Notamacropus eugenii: one gene and its partner. Each later gene encodes a partner of the first gene's protein in a complex. Links are inferred from orthologs where the notes say so. Each region holds a gene or a part of one and is shown on either strand. Other genes may lie near its edges. The genes, in order: SIRT3 and ACSS1.

Evidence for each region.
Region 2: the proteins of SIRT3 (region 1) and ACSS1 are in contact, whole or in part, in a crystal structure (PDB 3GLT), measured with the Homo sapiens proteins. The link is inferred for Notamacropus eugenii from reciprocal best matches to the Homo sapiens genes SIRT3 and ACSS1. Residues at the interface, in NP_036371.1 of Homo sapiens: Gly145, Ala146, Gly147, Thr150, Pro151, Asp156, Phe157, Arg158, Ser159, Glu177, Phe180, Gln228, Asn229, Ile230, His248, Ile291, Val292, Phe293, Phe294, Gly295, Glu296, Pro297, Leu298, Gly319, Thr320, Ser321, Leu322, Glu323, Val324, Glu325; in NP_115890.2 of Homo sapiens: Ser640, Gly641, Lys642, Val643, Met644, Arg645.

The regions. Positions count from the first base shown.
Region 1 is NC_092873.1:28,143,548-28,153,182, forward strand, and holds the start of SIRT3 (NAD-dependent protein deacetylase sirtuin-3, mitochondrial), read left to right. Parts: upstream 1-5,966; 5' UTR 5,967-5,999; coding exon 6,000-6,081; intron 6,082-6,451; exon of another isoform or gene 6,452-7,445; coding exon 7,446-7,629; intron 7,630-9,635. Other genes in the region: PSMD13 (26S proteasome non-ATPase regulatory subunit 13), read right to left, coding at 1,405-1,576, 2,190-2,276, 2,484-2,527, 2,684-2,739, 2,820-2,854, 5,479-5,557, 5,650-5,744.
Region 2 is NC_092872.1:602,004,986-602,014,519, forward strand, and holds the start of ACSS1 (acetyl-coenzyme A synthetase 2-like, mitochondrial), read right to left. Parts: upstream 3,864-9,534; 5' UTR 3,763-3,863; coding exon 3,369-3,762; intron 2,734-3,368; exon of another isoform or gene 2,584-2,733; intron 1-2,583. UniProt on the Homo sapiens protein: Catalyzes the synthesis of acetyl-CoA from short-chain fatty acids. Acetate is the preferred substrate. Can also utilize propionate with a much lower affinity. Provides acetyl-CoA that is utilized mainly for oxidation under ketogenic conditions.

The DNA of each region.
Region 1 (9,635 bases):
GCCATTCTAATCATCATCACCTCCATTTTACAGTTTAGGAAACAGAGAAACCCAGAGGCTTGGTGCCCAGGCTAGGAAGCTTCTGAGGCAGAATCTGAACTCAGATTCTCCTGGCTCCAGGTCCTCTCCTGTCGTCATGCTGACCACACAAAGCCCCAACATAACAGAGCCTCCTAAATGAGATCCCCTACTGTGCACAAAAATTCAACCTCATGATCCACACAAGAAAAACCAAGTGGATGAAGACTGCCAATTACTCTGACTGGAACTTGCAGCTGGAAAGGCTGCTTATCAGGCTGCCTTGCCAGATCAAAGACCAAACTACAGAGGACAACTGAAAGAAGACAAGATTGCTCCTGGGAAACATGGCAGAACTTTTTGTTTCATCCCTAGCCCCTGCTGGGGATACACTATGGCTGTGAATTTGACCTCTGGAGAATCAAATCTACATGCTGGGGGCAGATGACCCAAAGTGCCACAGGAAGCCTTCAGGTCTTAACTTCCTGTGGCTGTTCATTATCTCCCCATTAGACTGTGGGCCCCTTGAAGTCAGGGGTATCCCCAGGGTTTGGCCCAGTGCTTGGCACTTAGTAGGCACTTAATCTAATGCTTTTCGACTGGACTTGATGCAGGGCAAGAACACAAGTCATCACTGGGGAGACTGCCCAGAACACAGAGTGACCCACAGACAACAGGCTGTGACCTGACAGCCAAAGGGAGGCTGAAGAGCTAGGAGGTCACAGAGATCCTTTGAGAGTCTCTGCAGATGTGGACCACATTCCTATCTAACCTGACGCCTCAAGGGATAATATCTTTTCTAAATGTTCTCTTGCCCTCAGCACCCAGCACAAATAAAAAGCCATTTTAGGGTTAGGGAATGAAGGACTGTTGAATTGCACTTGCCCCAAATTCTCTCCAGGTTTCATGGTTTCTCTCCTACTTTTCTTCTCCTGGTTCTCGATCCAGCTCCCTTCCTGCCCTCGCCCTACCCAATGAAGGGCACCTTTTTGATTCCAACCCCCCCAACAGCAGCCTCCTTATCTCCTTAGCTGTGTGAGCAGCCCTTCTCTCTCTGGAGAAGAAACAAGGGCATCCCTACTGTGGTCTTGGGTGTTCTCAGATCTAGATCACAGGTCCAGAAGGATCCTTAGAGGCTGAGAAGCAGGAAGCAGCAGAGTTGGGGCCCAAGCCTTTAGCCTGTAGAGGGTGAACAGCCAGGCTTCTTATCCCTCTCCTGCCATTCCTGAAGCTGTGGAGGTGCCTCGAGCAGCCTTCTTCCTCACTGGCTCAGTTTCTGACCACCTGACCGCCCTCCATTTTCAGATGAATTCACTGCCCCAGACACTTGAGTAGGAGACACAGTGAGTGTGCCCGCCACCACCCAGCAACCTCACGTTGGGTTACCTGGCAGGTCCTTTACATCAATACAGCCCAGAAAGCGCAGGGCATCCTTGTAGTAGGATGCATGGTTTCCAATGGTCTGATAGTACTTGCTGGAAAGGTCATAGAAACGACTGTGTACAGATGTCACACCCGGAAGGTTATTAAGTAGCTCTTCCACGTCTTCAATTGTCTCCTGCACATGGATAGGAAGCCACCTTAGAGTGTCCTGGGTACATGGCTGTCGGACATTCCTTCCCCCAATCCCAGGAACGAAAGAAAAGAGCCCCAGGACCATGGGGGCAGAGGATACCAGACAGGCCAGCAAATGCCTCCTCTGCTTGCTGGACATGGCTGAGTCTTCTGTTTCCTTTGGGGCTAAAGCTCTGCCTTCCCCTAAGAAGGGGTAGCCCTGTCTATCTTATCTAAGGTCTGGAGATAATGAGGTCGTGTGGCCTGGAATGGACACACACGCTCCACCTCTTCACTGACTTACGTGTCATTACTCTAAAGGGAGCAAACAGATTGTTCAATCCCACCCCAAATGTGACCTAAGGCTCTTGTGCCAAGTCCTGATCAATCTGGGAGTCTCTGGGTGTTAGCTCCCAATCCTCTGCTCTCCTAACACAACAAGAATGGTTAAGCATCTGGTTTCCTTTGCCAGTCAGCTGGCTGTTAGACGCTGACTGTGCTCCAGATCAACTGGGGAAGGGGATGGGGCAGATGGATGAGCTTCTTAAGTCTCCAGGTCAAACAACCTCTCCAAGCTAGGACCCCTCAGGCACCAACAACTGGTCCCCTGCCCTCACCTTGGTCACCTGGAGGTCTCCAATGTTCAGTTTGAGAGCACCTATGGCAGTTTTACACAGGATTACTGCCTCATCACTGCTTTTTACCTGAAGTTGCCAAAAGGAGAAAGAGAAAGATCAGAAACCAGAGAAGCGGGTGACAAAAACTGAGAAACTACCAGGAAAAAGCTCCTGCCTTCCTACAGTCTCCATGTGCACAAGGCAACACAATTAGGAGTGAACCAGGGAGCCGTGGGCAGCCCAAGTGGGGGGCTGCTCTAGCAAGGAAAGGTGCAGCTAAAATGGCAAACCTACCTTTTCCCTAGTCTTTTCCAGAAACGTAAGAGCAACATTAGGATCTGGAGTAAATAAAAAGGTATGAAGTCAGAAGAGGCACCAATGGGCACATCAGGCCGGCATGAGGCTCTTTAAATTGGTAACGTAGTAAGGCCCATGAACTTGGCCTACAGTATCTTTACCCTTTGGGGTTCCTTCTTTGTGAAATTAATGCTCACCTGTCATCTGTCTAACTACATGGAGAATGATTTCCACCAAGGACAGAGGATTCACCCTGAAATGGAAAGATCACCTGGATTTAAAATTTCAACAATGTGCAAATGCAGAAGGTAAGTGATAAACAAGAGTATGTACCTGTGCTCAAACTCACTGATGAAGTTTTCATAGAGCTGCAGGAATAAAGAAATGGAATCCATTAAATCAGGCCAATTCCACCCTGAATTATCCTGCAGACCCCTCCTGAGCCAAATCTAGTTCTTATTCTCAAGTTCGGGGTGGGAAAGACACTAGAGACATGGCCCAGGAGATGCACAATGCCACACAACCAGACAGTTCCTAAACAAAAATTTGAGCTAGCAGTGCCATCCTGAATGGCCTCAATATGAGACTCCCCCCTCCCCCCCACCGAGGAACAGTGGCGTCCTTACGTTTCAGGGGGTGGTGTGTGGCCAGGGCTGATCCCAGGCATGCTTGGGAACTATGGCCGACCTTTGGGACTCTCTCCATTTGTTGACTGTACAAGCATTTTATGCAAGGACACAGTAGGAAGAATCTTGGGAGCAGCAAACGTGAGGCGACAGGCAGATGTGTTCCCTCAAAAGCCACCATAGTACCAAGTCAGAGGCAACCATGACAACAGAAATGTCCAAATTGTAAGGAGGGAGAGGAAACATGCTAGACTATTCTGAAAGGCTGAGGAGGAGCCAGGAGGAAGTGTGCATTCTGTGATGTCTGTGTACGGGGGACATGGGATTCTGTGGGTAAAAAAGCACCCAGTTGGGATATCAGTTATCCTTCTGCTGGAACCCCACTGTGATCGGCAGGGGCTTCATACCCAACACTCACACCACGCACATGGCAAGAATTAGATCAGCGAACACGTCAAGGGCAACATTTTCTCAGTGTCTAGGGAGACTGAAGGAGCTCAGCCCTACAAAGGGGCTGAGTAAAGCCGAGTGGTGAGAGAAGGAGGCTGGAGTCAAGGGAAAGGAGCCATGGTCACCTCCAGGCCTGGATGAGACCCAGATGGGATTGTTAGCTTGGGGGAGCATATTCCCCACTACATACGCACTGCATGAGTGGTATCCTTGCCAGGTTCTTATACAGACACCTCTGGTGTTACTTTCTGCGTCAGAAACCTAAATGACTGCTAGCAAACGAAAGAACGCTTCTGTGTTATCCCTAACCCTGCAAAGACAGGACAGAGGGAGGGCTAGGAGCAGCATATGTTAGCCCAACCAACCCCTTGCTTTTACATCGGTCTCCTGCAAGGATCAATTCCAAATCTTCGGATGCATTCCTGCTTTAACATGTGAAATTACATTACGAAACACGCACCAAATCCAGAAACTTAAGACTTTCTGTTCCTCCTAACGATTTTTTAGTGAATTTCAGATTTATTAACGCCTCTTAAGGAGCTGCTGCTTAAAATAAGCAATACAGCTTGTGAGCCCTGAATTAAAACAAAGCAAAGCAAAAGCCAACATTCAGAGAAACTGGAGCTAGTAAAGGAACCCAGAAAGCCAAAGCTTCTCCAGAGAGAGTTTGAAGGGACAGAGACGAGAAATAAAAGCAAGAGGATGTTTCACAGAAAGAAACCTTAATACTTGAGGCCCTACGGAGTCCAGAACTGGCTACCTGTTTGGAAGAGGTAGATCGCCAAGTGCCCAAGAAGCTCAGCACAGTGCCCAACAGATGGGCACAAAAGGGCAGGAAGCTCCCACGAGACCGAGGGAGATCAGCTGAACTACGGGCAAATACGATATCAGGCGTCTGAGCTAAAACCACCCAAGCTGTAATTATCCGATGATGTCATCGGTGCCCAGGAAAGGAGTTCTGGCTCGGCTGGCCGCATCTGAAAAAGCCTTCGTACACACCAGGAAAAGCTCTCAAAGGCTGACCAACGGACCGGACAACCAAGTGCGCCTCGCTGCGGACGGGCAGGACGCGGTCCGGACAAAAAAGCCGTCCCAAGGGCTAGCGGACCTGCAGGGCAGCCAGCAGCGCCCGCCGGCCAAGGCCACCCGCGCCCCTCGGGGGGCACCGCCAGAGTCGGGGCGCACCGGCCAAGGCCACCCGCGCCCCTCGGGGGGCACTGCCCACCGGCCAAGGCCACCCGCGCCCCTCGGGGGGCACTGCCCACCGGCCAAGGCCACCCGCGCCCCTCGGGGGGCACTGCCCACCGGCCAAGGCCACCCGCGCCCCTCGGGGGGCACCGCCAGAGTCGGGGCCCGCCGGCCAAGGCCACCCGCGCCCCTCGGGGGGCCCTGCCAGAGTCGGGGCCCGTGGGGGGAAGGAGAGCGACGCACCCGGGAACGGGAGCAGGAGACGGCCACCAGCCCAGCGGGAGACGGGCCGGAAAGACCCTCGGGTCCGCCAGAGAACAGGGATGGGTGCGCGCCCAGAGGGGCCGCGTGTCTGAAGCCGGGAGCAGCCTGGCACGTCCCTGGCACATCCCTTACACCGCGTGCCACGGAGGGACGTCAGAGGTCAGAGGGCACGGAGGATAAAGGGGCCAAAAGGCTGGAGAGCTCTCACACGCACCAAAGAAACGCAATCAGAACTAAAGGGACCCAAGTGGGGAAGGAGCCTCTGATAAGGGCTACTGCCCGAGAGAGACGAGCGACGGAGGCAGCGCGGAGCTGCCAACACGCAGGGGAAGGAACTGTTCCCGAAGCCGTCCGAGCTCAAGGACAGAGGGCAGGGATGACCCCGCGCTGCCAAGGACGGAGAGGCTGCCAGGCCCCGGCCCCGCAGGGACCCCCAGGACTTGGGGAGCCGGCCCCCCGCTCACCTTGATGAGCCCGTCGCCCTGGGCGAAGCAGGGATCCTGCACGAAGTCCAGGATCTGGAGCGTGAGCTGGTGCCATAACCTGGGAGACAAGAGGACCCTCAGCGCCCCCCGGGGGGGAGGGGAGCGGGCAGGATCCCGGGCCGGCCCCTCCCCCTCCCCCGCGCCCCTCACTTCTTGGTGTAGAGCTCCTCCAGGCGGTGCCACACGGCGGCCTGGCCGGGCCCGGCGCTCTGGCTCTGCTGCAGGAAGCCCGGCACGTCCTTCATAGCGACGGCGGATCCGGGACGGACGCGGAGAACGCGCGCGGGACTCCGGAGCAGCGACCGGCGCCGACGGAGGGGCCGACGGAAACGCACACTCACTTCCGGTGTCCGCACACTCACTTCCGGCGCACACCCGCACACGTCCGGCGTCTGCACGCTCACTTCCGGCAGGGCGCACGCGCCCTCACCCACTTCCGGCCCCGGTGCAGGTCGGGAGCGGCGCTCGCTTCCTCCGTCCTCCCCGAGGGAGTCGGGGCGATGGGGCCGGGCTGCGCCGCCGCCTGGACCGCCCTGGGTGCGGCGCTGGGGCCCGCGCGAGGAAGGGCCGCGGCAGCGCGCGGTGAGCGTCCCGACGTGCGTGCGCGTGCCCGAGGCCGGACCCCGGCGGGGGCGGAGGAGGGGCTCCAGTGACCTCTGCGGGCTGGGCGCGCGCCTGGGGTGGGGGCTGGGCGGGTGAGCTGCCGGGCCCGGCCCCCAGGGGTGCGGGACGTCCCGGGCCGAGGAAATGGGCGAAGGGGGCGCTGAGGCGGGCTTGGGTGCGTGTGTTCGGACCCCGATTCCGAAGTCGCGTTTCTGTCTAGCCCCCAATCTCTTATCTCGGGCAGTGTCCCTCCCGCCCCGGCAGGAACCATGCCTGCCCCCTGCTGTGCGCTGGGTCGTGGGACGTTCCTGCGTGCCTGAGCCCCCTTTCCATCACTCCTTCCTGCCAGGACATCGATGAGAGAAGCCTGATTGACCCTGGTCAGCCCTGACCTCGGTTGGCGGCCTGAAGCCGCACCTGCACGTGGCCCCTCTTTGCTCATTCCCCGCTGCCTGCCCGGCGGATACCCAGAGGGCGTTTTCTCCGAAGAACTGACCACTTCTTAAGCGCTCCCTGGCCCGGCCAGACCTAGCGGACATGCTGGGCACCCGTCTGACTACGCAGTGACCCGTGCAAACTTCGTGCCTCCTCTAAGTGGCAGGTTCCCTAGGGACCTTGCCCGCCGAGAGGCGCGCTAACGAGCGTCTGTGCCTCCCGCCCTAAGATCGCCGGAGTCCGGGGAATCCTCCCCAGACCGGGCTGCCGGGGCTCCGCGCCTCCGGTCCCTTCGCCGGGGAGATGGTTAGAAGGGAACTGTGTCCAAGATCTTTTGTTCCTTCGGAGCCCAGATATCCCCAGGACGCCGCCTGCTCTCCCACCCGGAGAACCATTCCCTATGACAAAGTGTTTTTAAAGGAGGAGAAGGAAGAGTCAGTGAAGCAAAAACGCTGAAAACGTGGGGAAATGCATGCCGGGTTCCCCGCCTCTGCGCCAGTGGGCGTGGGTGTGGGGAGAGGGGTCTTCTCTTCCTCAGGGTCGTGGGGCGGTCCTGGCTCCGCCTCCCTTCGTGCCAGGCTTTCCGTCTGCGTTCATTCGGGCATGTGCCACGATTTGTTCAGCCAGTCCCTAGTTGATGGGTGTCTATTACCCAAAGGGCTGCCGCCAACGTCTGGGTTCATGTGGGACTTTCTTCTTATCAACAGCCTCCTGAGATATAGACCGGCTCCTGAAATCCCTGGATCAAAGGGATAATGGACATTTCCAAACTGCATTCCAAAATGGTTGTAACAATTCAAAGCCTCACCGAGGGCGCTAATGTGCCAGTCTTCTCACAACCCTGTCACCACTGAGTAGTCTGTTGAATGCTGTCAACAGCTGGACTTTTCCTATCCTTGTTTCCTTAGGGTGGAGGTATCTCTGCCTGTGTGGACAGCCCTCTGTCTTCAGAGTTTGGGGGAGTCTCCGAGCTCTCCACAGATCCAGCTGCATCTCTCTGTGGGAGCAGGTGTTACCAGAGAAGATCCTGAGAGGGGAAGCTGTGAATGTGTCCAGCTCTTGGCAACAAAAGTTAGGTGGTCATTTCTGCAGGTACCCTGGGTGCCAGGGGGTGAGGGAACATAAGAGCTTTGAGTTTGGGAAATAGTGTCAGAGAGCAGGTTTTAAGGAGGGATGCAAATCCTTGTGCATAATAACTTAATAAGGGCTTATTAATTAAAGTTAGAAGGACGAGAAGAAGGAATTGTGGGAGACATCCGGGTCTTGGGAGATACATGGAATCATGATATCACAGAGTTGAAGGAGACTTTTAATATGGGGCTGATTTCCTAAACTGGGGAGAGCCAAAACAGAAAGGAAATCATAGACTAATTTCCCTAATGAATATAGATGCAAAAATTTTAAATAAAATATTAGCAAAGAGATTATAGCAACTTATCTCAAGGATAACACACCTGGTCGTAACCAGGTAGACTTTCTACCAGGAATGCAGGGCTGGTTCAACATTGGGAAAACTATCAGCATAATTGACCATATCAACCACAAAACTAACAGAAATCATATGATTAGCGCAATAGATGCAGAAAAAGCTTTCGACAAAATACAGCACCCATTCCTATTAAAAACTAGAGAACATAGGAGTAAATGGAGTCTTCCTTAAAATGGTAGGTAGCATCTACCTAAAACCACCAGCAAGTATTGCATGTAATGGGGATAAGCTAGAAGCATTTCCCAAAAGATCAGGGGTGAAAAAAGGATGTCCATTATCGCGGTTTTTCAATATTGTACTAGAAATGTTGGTTTTAGCAATAAGAGAAGAACAAGAAATTGAAGGAATTAGAACAGGCGAAGAAGAAACAAAGCTATCACTCTTTGCAGATGATATGATGGTATACTTAGAGAATCCTAGAGAAACAAGTAAAAAATTACTTGAAGAATGGACAATTTTAGCAAAGTTGCACAATGTAAAATAAACCCACATAGAATCATATATGTAACTAACAGAAACCAGTAGCAAGAGATAGAGAAGTTCCATTTAAAGTTATTGTAGACGTTACAAAATATTTGAGAATCTACCTGCCAAAACAATCCCAGGAACTGTATGAGCAGAATTATAAAAGACTTTTCACACAAATAAAGTCAGATCTAAATAATTGGAAAAATATCAGTTGCTCATAGGGAGGCTGAGCTAATATAATTTAAACGATAATTCTACCAAAATTAAATTACTTATTCAGTGCCATGCCAGTCAAACTACCAAAAATTATTTTATGGTGCTAGAAATAACAATCATAAAATTCATCTGAAAGAAGAAAAGATCCAGAATATCAAGGAAATTAATGAAAAGAAATGCAAGGGAAGATGGCCTAGCTTTACCAGATCTTAAATTGTATTATAAAGAAGCAGTCATCCAAACTACTTGGTACTAGGTAAGAAATAGAGTGGTGGATCAGTGGAATAGGTTAAGTATGCAAGACACAACAGTCAATGACTATAGTAATCTATTTGATAAATCCAAAGACTTCAGCTTCTGGAATAAGAACTCGCTAACAAAAACTACTGGAAAATAGTATGGCAAAAACTAGGCATAGACCAACATCTTACACCCTATATCAAGATGAAATCAAAATGGGCACTTGATTTAGTTATAAAAACTGATTCCATAAACAAACTCGGAAAGCAAGGAATAGTTTCCCTGTCAGATCTACAGAGAAGGGAGGAATTTACTACCAAACGAGATAGAGAAGATTATGAAATGTAAATTGGGTGATCTTGATTACATTAAATTGAAAAATTTTTGCACAAACAAAGCCAGTGCAACCAAGATTAGAAGGGAAGCAGAAAGCTGGGAAAGAATTTTTACAACCAGTGTCTGTGATAAAGGTCTCATTTCTAAAATATGTAGAGAACTGAATCAAATTTATAAGAACACAAGTCATTCCCCACTTGATAAATGATCAAAGGATAAAAACAGGAAGTTTTCAAAGGAAGAAATTAAAGCCATCTAGTTATATGAAAAATGACTATTCTAAATCATTGATTAGAGAAATGTAAATCAAAACAACTCTGAGGTACCACACCACACCTATCAGATAGGC
Region 2 (9,534 bases), on another chromosome or scaffold:
GCGATATTGAGGCAAAATAGTCAGGACTTATCAATGATTTGATGCTGGAGGCAAAATAGATTTATTAAATTAAATTAAAGATTTATACTGGGTTAACAAAAGATTGGGCAAATATTCATGCCTCTCACTAACATATATTATGAAAGTAGAAGAAGGGGCAGATTTTGGGGGAGGGAAATAAAAAACCAGAGTTGTAGATGTGATGAGCTTATTCAATTTCACAAATAGTGAATGGGCAAGACACTATCCTAGAGGAAATAATGATAGATACATCCTAGACTCTGACATCAAGGAACTTATAGTCCAATGAGAAGGGGAGTCATGCATACAGGTCACTATGATACAAAGGATAAAGGAATAAAAATGAACCAAAGGTGTAGGCAAAGCATCATGAGAAATTTGAAAAGGAAAAGATCACTTTTTGCTTGAACTTCCTAAGCTGGACCTTAAAAGGAGAGCATTTGAATAAAAGCTCCAAAAATGTACGGGGGGAAGGTAGCATGGGGAGTCCAGTTCAGGTATAGGTGGGTGCTATGAGCAAAGACAGGAGGAAAGGAAAGACGAAGATGAGAAAGAGCTCAGATACAGTAATCCTGTGTGACTAAAACTATGTAACACAAAGCATGTGAACAGATAAGCCTGAACATTTAAGTTAAAAACTAAACTAAAATGTGGGCTACACTAAAATAGGACCAGGAATTTATGCTTATTAAGAGGCAAAAGGGAGCCACTGAAGTTTTTTGAGGAGGTGATTTACATGATCAGAACAGTACATTAGGCAACATTATGAAGGGCTGATCAGAAAGGGAATAAACCTGCAGCAGAAAGAGCAGTTAAAAGCCAAAGAATTGAGGCAATAAGAGATGAGTTAAGTCAGAAGCCCTACGGGTGAAGGAGAAGGAATCAATGAAGAGATTGATAATTGAGTCTACGGGACTAGTCAACTGATGAATGAGCGAAGAAAAAATATTTTTTTAATGGCTACAAGATAAGTCTGAGTGACTGGATGGACAGACTAGTCATATGAACATAAACAGACAAATTCGGGAGGTGGGGGAGCCAAATTTGGAAACAAGATCAGTTTAGTTGAGTTTGAGGTGCCAGATGATCATCCTGTTGGAGATGTCCTTTTAAGTTAGGTAATTGGTGATTCAAGTATGGAGCTGAGAAGACAGCTAATGTAGATTTAGACACAGATTTAGGAGTCATCTGTGTAGAAATGATGGTAAAAGCTGTAGGAACAATGATATTGATGAGAAGAACTGGTAAAGAGTAAAGGCAAGAGAAGCAAGGAGAGATCATTGGGGAACACCAGTATTAACGGGTGTAAAAGAGGAGCAAGGAAACAAAGAAGGGACCACAAGAAATGTAACAGGAGAAACAAGCAACTGATCTAGCTCAGCTTCCAGTCCCTATGCAAGAATATACCTGTAGATAAGAATCTGTCTTCTTTATGTTGTTAGAAAGCAAGAGAGCAAGAATATCCAGAAAGAAAGAACAGTCAAGGGCATTAAATGCTACAGAGAGGCTAAAGGTAAAGGATGGGGGGAAGGGAGCAGGGTGGCAAATTACTGAATTTGGCAATATCTTTCATTTGGTATTTCTGGGGGAATCATAGAATCTAGGCCTGGAATGGACCTTAGGGATCGTCTTGTCCAATCTTTCCTTTTTCAAAAAATGGAACAGGCTCAACGATGGGAAATGATTTGACTTGTTACTTAGTAAGTGACAGAGCCAGGACTCAAACTCAGATTCTCTTATTTTAGATTCAATGCTTTTTCTAGTATACCACACTTACTTTCCTGGATTTTGAGTTCTTTTTTCATGTGTATATCTTCTCTCCTGGCTGAATGATATGTTCCTTGATGGCTTGGAACTTGCCTATGACTTTCTATTCCCCTATAAAATGCCTAATCCTATACCTGATACATTCTAAAGGCTGAGACTATATTTGTGGATTGATTGATTCAGCTGATTTCAGTGTTTGAAACTTAGAAATAAAGGGTTTAAGACTCTGTTACTGAAGACTCATCACCAGTGTCAAATCTTAGATATTACTGGCCTTGAAAACGAAGTAGGCATACCTCTTAGGAGGTTGAAATGCACAGACGACCTTATCCTGAAGATAATTATCAGAGTTGCCTAGAAGGCTGAGGAACCTCGTCTCAGCCAGTAAAACATTGTCTGAGCAAGGATATATTTTTGTTTAAGTTTGCTCTGCTCATTGACCAAGGATTTTCCTCTCTTCTTCACCTCTTCTTTGCACTCTACAAGGAAGCATGTATTGTTTGTTTACGTGGGCAGAGTTAATACTTAGGCAACTCCTCCAGCCGCCAATGGCTCCCCGGGGCCTGAGTGATACGTCTGGGTGCTGTGGGACAGCCCGTAAGGCAGGCCAGCTACAAGACTACAGAAGTCGTTTCGTTTTCACTAAGGAGTTTTATTCGGAGTTTATTTACTAGCTTGCATCCCAGGGGCGAAATGAAAAAGAAAAGGAGGAGAGGGAACTGTCTAGATCCTAGGAGAACGGAGTCAAGGGCTCTTCCTAGCTCAAACTTATAACACGGACACAAAGGGAACAGAGAGTTGCGAGGAGTTGCTGGGTGAGGGGTAAGACAAAAGACGGAACCAGGGCGGGGATGTAACTCCCTGGGTTGTCCATTCGAGTCCGCAGGTCCCAGCTAGCTGCCCAGTGCAAACTGATCCCCCACCTAGCCAGCCCAGAACGTAAGGGTAAGTACAAGGTAACTCTAGGGAAGAAAAAAGCGTCCTCTAACAGTCTCCCAAACCTGTCATCCTGGACAGCAGCTGGAAGGACTCGCGCTCTCAACCCGCCCCACATAGCTGGCAGGAAAGCAGCATTCTGGGGTGGAGTGGGGGTGGGGAGAGGGCGCGTGAGTGCACAGAGGAGGTGACAATGGTCAGGAGCTGTCAGAGCTCCCTCGTGCCCTAGAGGTTCTTAGGGGCTTTGTGGGAGGATCTATAGTTTGCAGTGATAAGGTGACGTGGCTCCTGACTTTGCTAGAGACTGTTAAGGATAAATGAGGTAAAAGTGGAGAGAAAGTCGAAGGAAATAGGGACCCCCCGAAGGGTTTCATGGAGAGGATGCGGATGTTGCCGGGGGGGGGGGGAGGGGGGCTATGAATTTGTTGGCCAAATTGCTAGAAGTGTCCAGATTACCGAGGAAATTGTGGCCAGGTTGTAAGGGTTGCTAGGGAGCAGGTGACCAAGGTTGCTAGGGCAAAATGTAGGAATGGACTGGTTGTGGGTTCAAGTAAAAACTAAAATGATGGGAGAAATGGGGAGAAGGAATAGTTCCTGTTACCTCACCCCTTCCCCCAAATGCCAACCCCCATCCTTAGCCTTACCCGACACGTTTAACTGGCCGCCCAGGAACCAGCTAATCTTGCCCTGGTTGAAATCACAGTCCTCGACGGTATGGTAAGGGGTGTCCCACACCAGCGTGTGCTGGGCAAGGCGCCCCCAAAACACTTGGGGCTCTTTGACAGCTTGTTCCCACAGCTTCGCGTAGGTGCTGAGTTTCCTTGACACCGCTGGGGCGGCGCTGCCGGCCCCTTTTCCGGCAGCCCAGAGGCCCGGACCGTGGCCGCCCAGGAACCGGCGATGTAGCTGCAGGGGCAGCCCCGGCCCCCAGCTTCTCGACCCCCCGCATCCTGGCAGCACCCAGAAGCTCCCGCACAGTTTGCGGAGCAGTCCACGGCCCCCACCGCTGCCGGAGGTGCACAGGCTCAGAGCAGTCATAGCGTTTAGCCACCCCCAGACCCGGCTTTCCTGGGGCCCCTCGGATCCTGGCACAGCACCCTAAGACGGCTGCACTTCCAACGCAAAAACTAGAGGAACTCAGCGAGGCGGGGACCGGAGCCAATAACGGGCTCCTCCCACTCTTCTTAGTCCCTCCCAACTGCCAGTTCTTCGGGGAAGGGCGGGGTGGGGGGTGGGGGGGAAGGAGGAGAGAGAGAGATAGTGTGAGAAAGAGAAAGAAGACGTTTAGCTCCCCATTTCCTCTGTAGTGGTAAACTGGAGGGGGCCTGGTAGTGGCTCTCTCCTTCCCTCCTCCTGACTCCCACCTCCTCGTCAGGTCCCTTATTCTTCTGGAGCCCACCTCCCCAAGTTCAGTTATCTTTCCCCCTCCCCACCACCTTTCCTTCTGTCATCTTGGGGGGAGGAGGGAATTAGGGGAGGATATGATCGCAGGAGGAGGAGAATTTAGGGCTTCGAGATCATCGAGGTTCTGAGAGGCAGTCCTCAGTACCTGCTGCTTGGAGGTGATGAAGGCAGTCTTGTGGAATGTCAAGTTGAAGTTTTGCTTTGATTTCATTTTATAGGTTGTTCTTGAGCCTACCAAAATAAGGCTATTATCTGGATCTCATACAATCTTAGATGTAGGAGACACCTTAGGAATCCTTTAGTCCAAAATGGAAGTCCAGAAAGATGATGATTTGTTCAAAGTCACAAAGCTATGGAAGTCCAAAGAATTGGTGAGTGTCTTCTTTCAAGGTCACAAAATTGATAAAGTAAATGAATTGGACTTTGAGCCCATAACTACATGAATCCAGTGCTCTTTCCACTATATCTGTCTTTAAGGGGACGATTGTAGGGATGGAGAGAAAAAGACAGAGACAGAGAGAGATAAACAGATAGACAGAGAAAGAGACAGAAAGAGAATGCTTATTGCCCTTGCTCCCCTGGGGGTGGGTGGTTCCTGCTTCCAGTGTTTCCCCTCTCTAATCCATTCTCCACTCAGCTGCCATCTTAATCATCCAAATGCACAGGCATCACTTTTCTGTCCCAAAACTTTCAAAAGCTCTCTAGCCCTCAAGCTAAGACCATCCACAACTCACTGACCTACTCTTTCAGCCTTAGTTAATAATATTCCTCTTGACATACTCAGTATCCCATCTCCTGTTTCTTTGTCTCTTCCAGCTATCCCTCCTACTTGAAATGCAGTCCTTTCCTCCCTAAAAGATTCCTTCTGTTACTTCAAGGCTCAATTCAGGTGCCATCTTCTCTTGGAAGCGTTCTCTGATGCCTCCCCATTTGTTAATGCTCTTTCCCTTTCTGAAATTCCCTTGAATTTACTTATCTGTATATGTTAAATCTCTCCAGTAGAATGGTAAACTCCTCCAGGACTTTGGCTTTTGTCTTTAAATCCCAGGGCCAAGTACCTCACCTTGCATAATTAGGATATGAAATAAATGTTTATGGAAATGTTGAACCTTGGTGATGTGGAGAAATATATGTCATCAAGTAAACAACTAAATATAAACTCTTTACATATAGTTTTTTTCAGATTGAAAATTCTCTGAATATTTCCCCTACTGCTCTATTTTGCCAACAAAGTACTACAAGCTAAATGTAGTCACAAACAGAGATGCCAGCATAAAGTGGTAGAGATTGAATCATCTAACTACTCACCAGGTAGTCAAACGTTCTTGGAAGTAATCTTTCTAACAAAAAGAGCTGTCCAGCCATGGACATTTAGAAGGTGATGAGTTCCATGAAATGTCCAACTAAGCGAAGACTGAGTGATCACCTATCAGTGATATTGTAAAGGAGATTTTGGTATGGGTTGGAAGACTGAACAAGATGCCCTTTCAAGTCCCTTGCAACTCTAAGATTCTCTCATTCAAAGAAATTATTCCTGGCCTTCAGTTCAAGAGACAACATTGGCAAATGAATCAATATAGAGGACGCTGGAATTCTAACCCAGTTCCTGACAATGACTTGTCAGTCTTAGTTAACTCACTTCACTTTTCCTGGCTTCAGTTTTCCCATAAATTCTTTAAAAAGGAGAAAAGATAAGAGCAGAAAACCAATTTGCCATTACTTTATGACATTTTGGGGAGGCTGCCCTTAATTCAGTGGTTGTTGGTGCAGGACCCAGAAATGAGAAATAGGAATTTGGCTGAGGACGCATTACATAGTTCCTAATCCCCTCTATCATGATCTCCTCTATAGACCTTACTCCCTTACTACAACCTAAGAGGGCAATTTCGAGGAAGGATATAAGAAAGGAACACTCACTACAAATGCCTCTATTCATGTTTTTAAGGATTCCAGATTTCTTAAATTATCCCAGTTTCATAATGATCTCTACTCTACTGGATTCACCTATAAAATTATAAGATCTGAGAACTATAAGGAATCATGAATTCTTCTAGTCAAGGGCTCTCAACCTCTGCCATGGATGGAACCCGCTGGTGGTCTGGTGAAGCCTATGGACCCTTTCTCAGAATAATGTTTTTAATTGCATAAAATAAAGTATATAAGATTAATAAAGGAAAACAATTATATTGAAATGCAGTTATCAAAAAAAAAATTTAAGTTCAAGGACCCCAGATTAAGAACCTCAGATGTTTTTCACCCTCCTGCCTCCAGGCAGGAATATACCATTAGATAAAATCTGTTCCCATACCAGGTCAAGAAGGGATTAAAAGGAAAAGCAGAAAAAATAAAAACCTGTGGGAACAGGTGTCAACTGAGGGGAGTGTGCAGGGGGTACAATGCCATGTTTGGAAAGATTAGGCAGAAATCAAATTATAGACACAAAGCTGAGCAGTATTATTTTATCCTAGGGTCTTCTGAAAGTTTTTAAACAAAGGAGTGATATAGTCACACCTGTGCAGCAAGGAAACGAATTTGGCAGCTGTGGAGAGGGTAAAGAGGAGAAGGGAGAAACTAGGAGCATGGACCTTGTTCTAATACCACCTAGGCCTCAATTTCCTCATTTGTAAAATAAAGGATTCAGACTAGAAAACCTTTGAGGTCTCCGTCAGCTTTGGATCTATGACCCTATGAACCATTGAGTTAGGGCTTAAGTTATTACAGACAAATCTATTAAGAAGCTATTGCAATTGTTCCAGGTGGAAGGAATGAGGGCCTGAATTAAGATAGTGGCTGCATGAGACAGAGAAGTGGACAAATGGAAGAGAAGACTTACAGCTGATTAGATGAGTGTGCTGGAGAGAAAAGAAAAAAAGATGGCTTTACTCTTTGCAAACCTGAGCTAGAAAGATGGGGATACTTTTAAGAGAAATAAATGAGCGGAGCCTAAATGTCAGAGTAGAAGAAAAAAGAAGAGCTGAGCGTTTCCCCACTCCTCCACAAAGATGCAATAAATGCATCAAACTGAGTCCTGACTGGAAAATTCAAGACAAAAAAATTCATAATGAGTCATTTTTTCCAGCTTGAATAGCATAGGGAGACAGATAAAGTTGTCTGTGGACACTAGGGACAAGCCATAAGGACTGTGCCAAAGAGCAAGGAGAGGTCCTAGAGTCATGATGGGGCATTGTGCTCTTGTATAAGATATGGGAAGAGGTGGCAACTAGCAGCTCTGTCACTCACTCCCCAGTTCCTGATCACAAATCCAGGATGGACTGAGAAAATGACTTGCACATAGTGGTGGGATTCCAGGGTAAAGAGACATCTCATGACCTAGTTTGTGTACTGAGCAAGGAAAAAGATCAGTAGCAATTAGTAGCTGTGTGGCTAATGACCCCAAGAGAAGAGCACAGTCTCAATGCCAAATTCAAGGTCAGTCTTAAGCCTACAGAGGCATGATCAGGATCAGAATCTCAGAACTTTCCAGCTAGTCACTTAGATAGTGACTAAGTCCAGAAGCAATCTGCTGAATGTACCAACCAGGGGCAAAACAAAAGGAATATTATATAGATCCAAACCCAGGGCAAGAGTTTGCAGAGCTCAAACTAGAAAACAGTGATCAGACTTTACTCTGAAGTACAGAACTTTCGAAGCACTTAAAACCTGCAGGTACTCAACCAGAACTATTCCTGAGATCCTGGATACATACAACACTCAATATCATAAAAAAATAGAAGTAGACCCCAAGAAGACAAAAGCTTAACCAAGACATTCCCCTCAGAAGTGTATAGAACCTGGCCCTAACAGGAAGTAGACTAGAAGAATGAATAAACATGAAAAGAATGTCACCCAAAAAAAATCTGTTATGTTGACAGGGATGCTCAAGATACAAACCCAGTAGAAGATAATGACTCCCGAACATCTACAAGCAAAGCCTAAACAAAATAAAGCTTGGGCACAAATCTGGCCTGAATTGCTAGAAGAGACAAAGCAAGAGTTTTTGGTAAATTAACTTAAAAACCACACAGGAATCATATGAATACAACTATAAAATATTCTTTATATAAATAAAAACAGATCTAAATAATTGTAGAAACATTAATTGCTCATTGGTAGGCCACGCTGATATAATAAAAATTATACTAATACCTAAATCAATTTCCTTATTTGGTACCAGACCAATCATATTACTAAAGGATTTATATGCTTTATAAAACTAGAAAAAAATAATAAAATCCATCAGGAGGATAAAGCATCAAGAATCACAAGGGAATCAATGAAAAGGAGAAGGATGAAAGGGGTCTAGCAGTCCCAGGTCTCTAATTACTCTACAAAGCATTAATCATCAAAAGAATTAGGGACTGGTTAGGAAATAGAGAGGTTGATCAGTAAGACAGATTAGCTACATAGTATTAAAAACCAATTAGCACAATAGCCTAGTGTTTGATAAATCCAAAGATCCCAGCTACTAGGGCAAGAACTCACTATTCAACAAAAACTATTGGAAAAACTGGAAAGCAGTTTGGCAGTACCTAGATTTAGACCAACATCTCACACCATATGCCAAGATAAGCTCCAACTAGGTTTATGACTTAAAGGACATTATAAGTAAATTAGAGGAAAAAAAGATAAAATTATAGGTCACATGTACAAAGGAAGGTTTCACAGCCAAATGAGATAGAGGATCGCAGAAGGGAAAATATACGATTCTGATTACATAACATTAAAAAAGGCTTTGTACAAACAAAATCAATGCAGCTATAATTAGAAGAGAACAGGTATGAGGGAGGGGAATCTTTGCAGCAAATTTCTCTGATAAACATCTCATTTCTAAGATTTGTAGAAAACTGGTGGAAATTGATAAGAATGAGAACTACTTCCCAATTGATAAATGTTCAAAAGATATAAGCAGGCAGTTTTCAGAGGGAGAAATTCAAGTTATTAATAGCCACATAAAAAGTACTCTGTCTCACCAATAATTAGAAAAATTTAAATCGAAAGAATGCTATAGTTTTATTGCATACTCATCAGATTGGCATGGTTGGGCAAAAAAAAGGAAACTGACAAATGCTAAAACAAAAACAGGTACATTCTTAGTGGAGCTATGAAATGGTCTAGCCATTCTGGAAAGCAATTTGGAACTATGCCCAAAAATCTATCAAAATGTTCAGGTCTTTTGATCCAGCAATACAACTTCTATTACTTGAAAGAAATTAAAGAAAGAAGAAAAGGACCCATATGTAAAAAAATATTTATAGCTGCTCTTTCTGTGGTGACAGTTGGAAAATCAGGAGGTACCCATCAAGTGGGGAATAGCTAAACAAGTTATGGTATATGAATATGATAGAATCCTGTTGTTCTATAATAAATGAAGAAGCAGACTTCAGAAAAACATGAGAAGACTTTTGA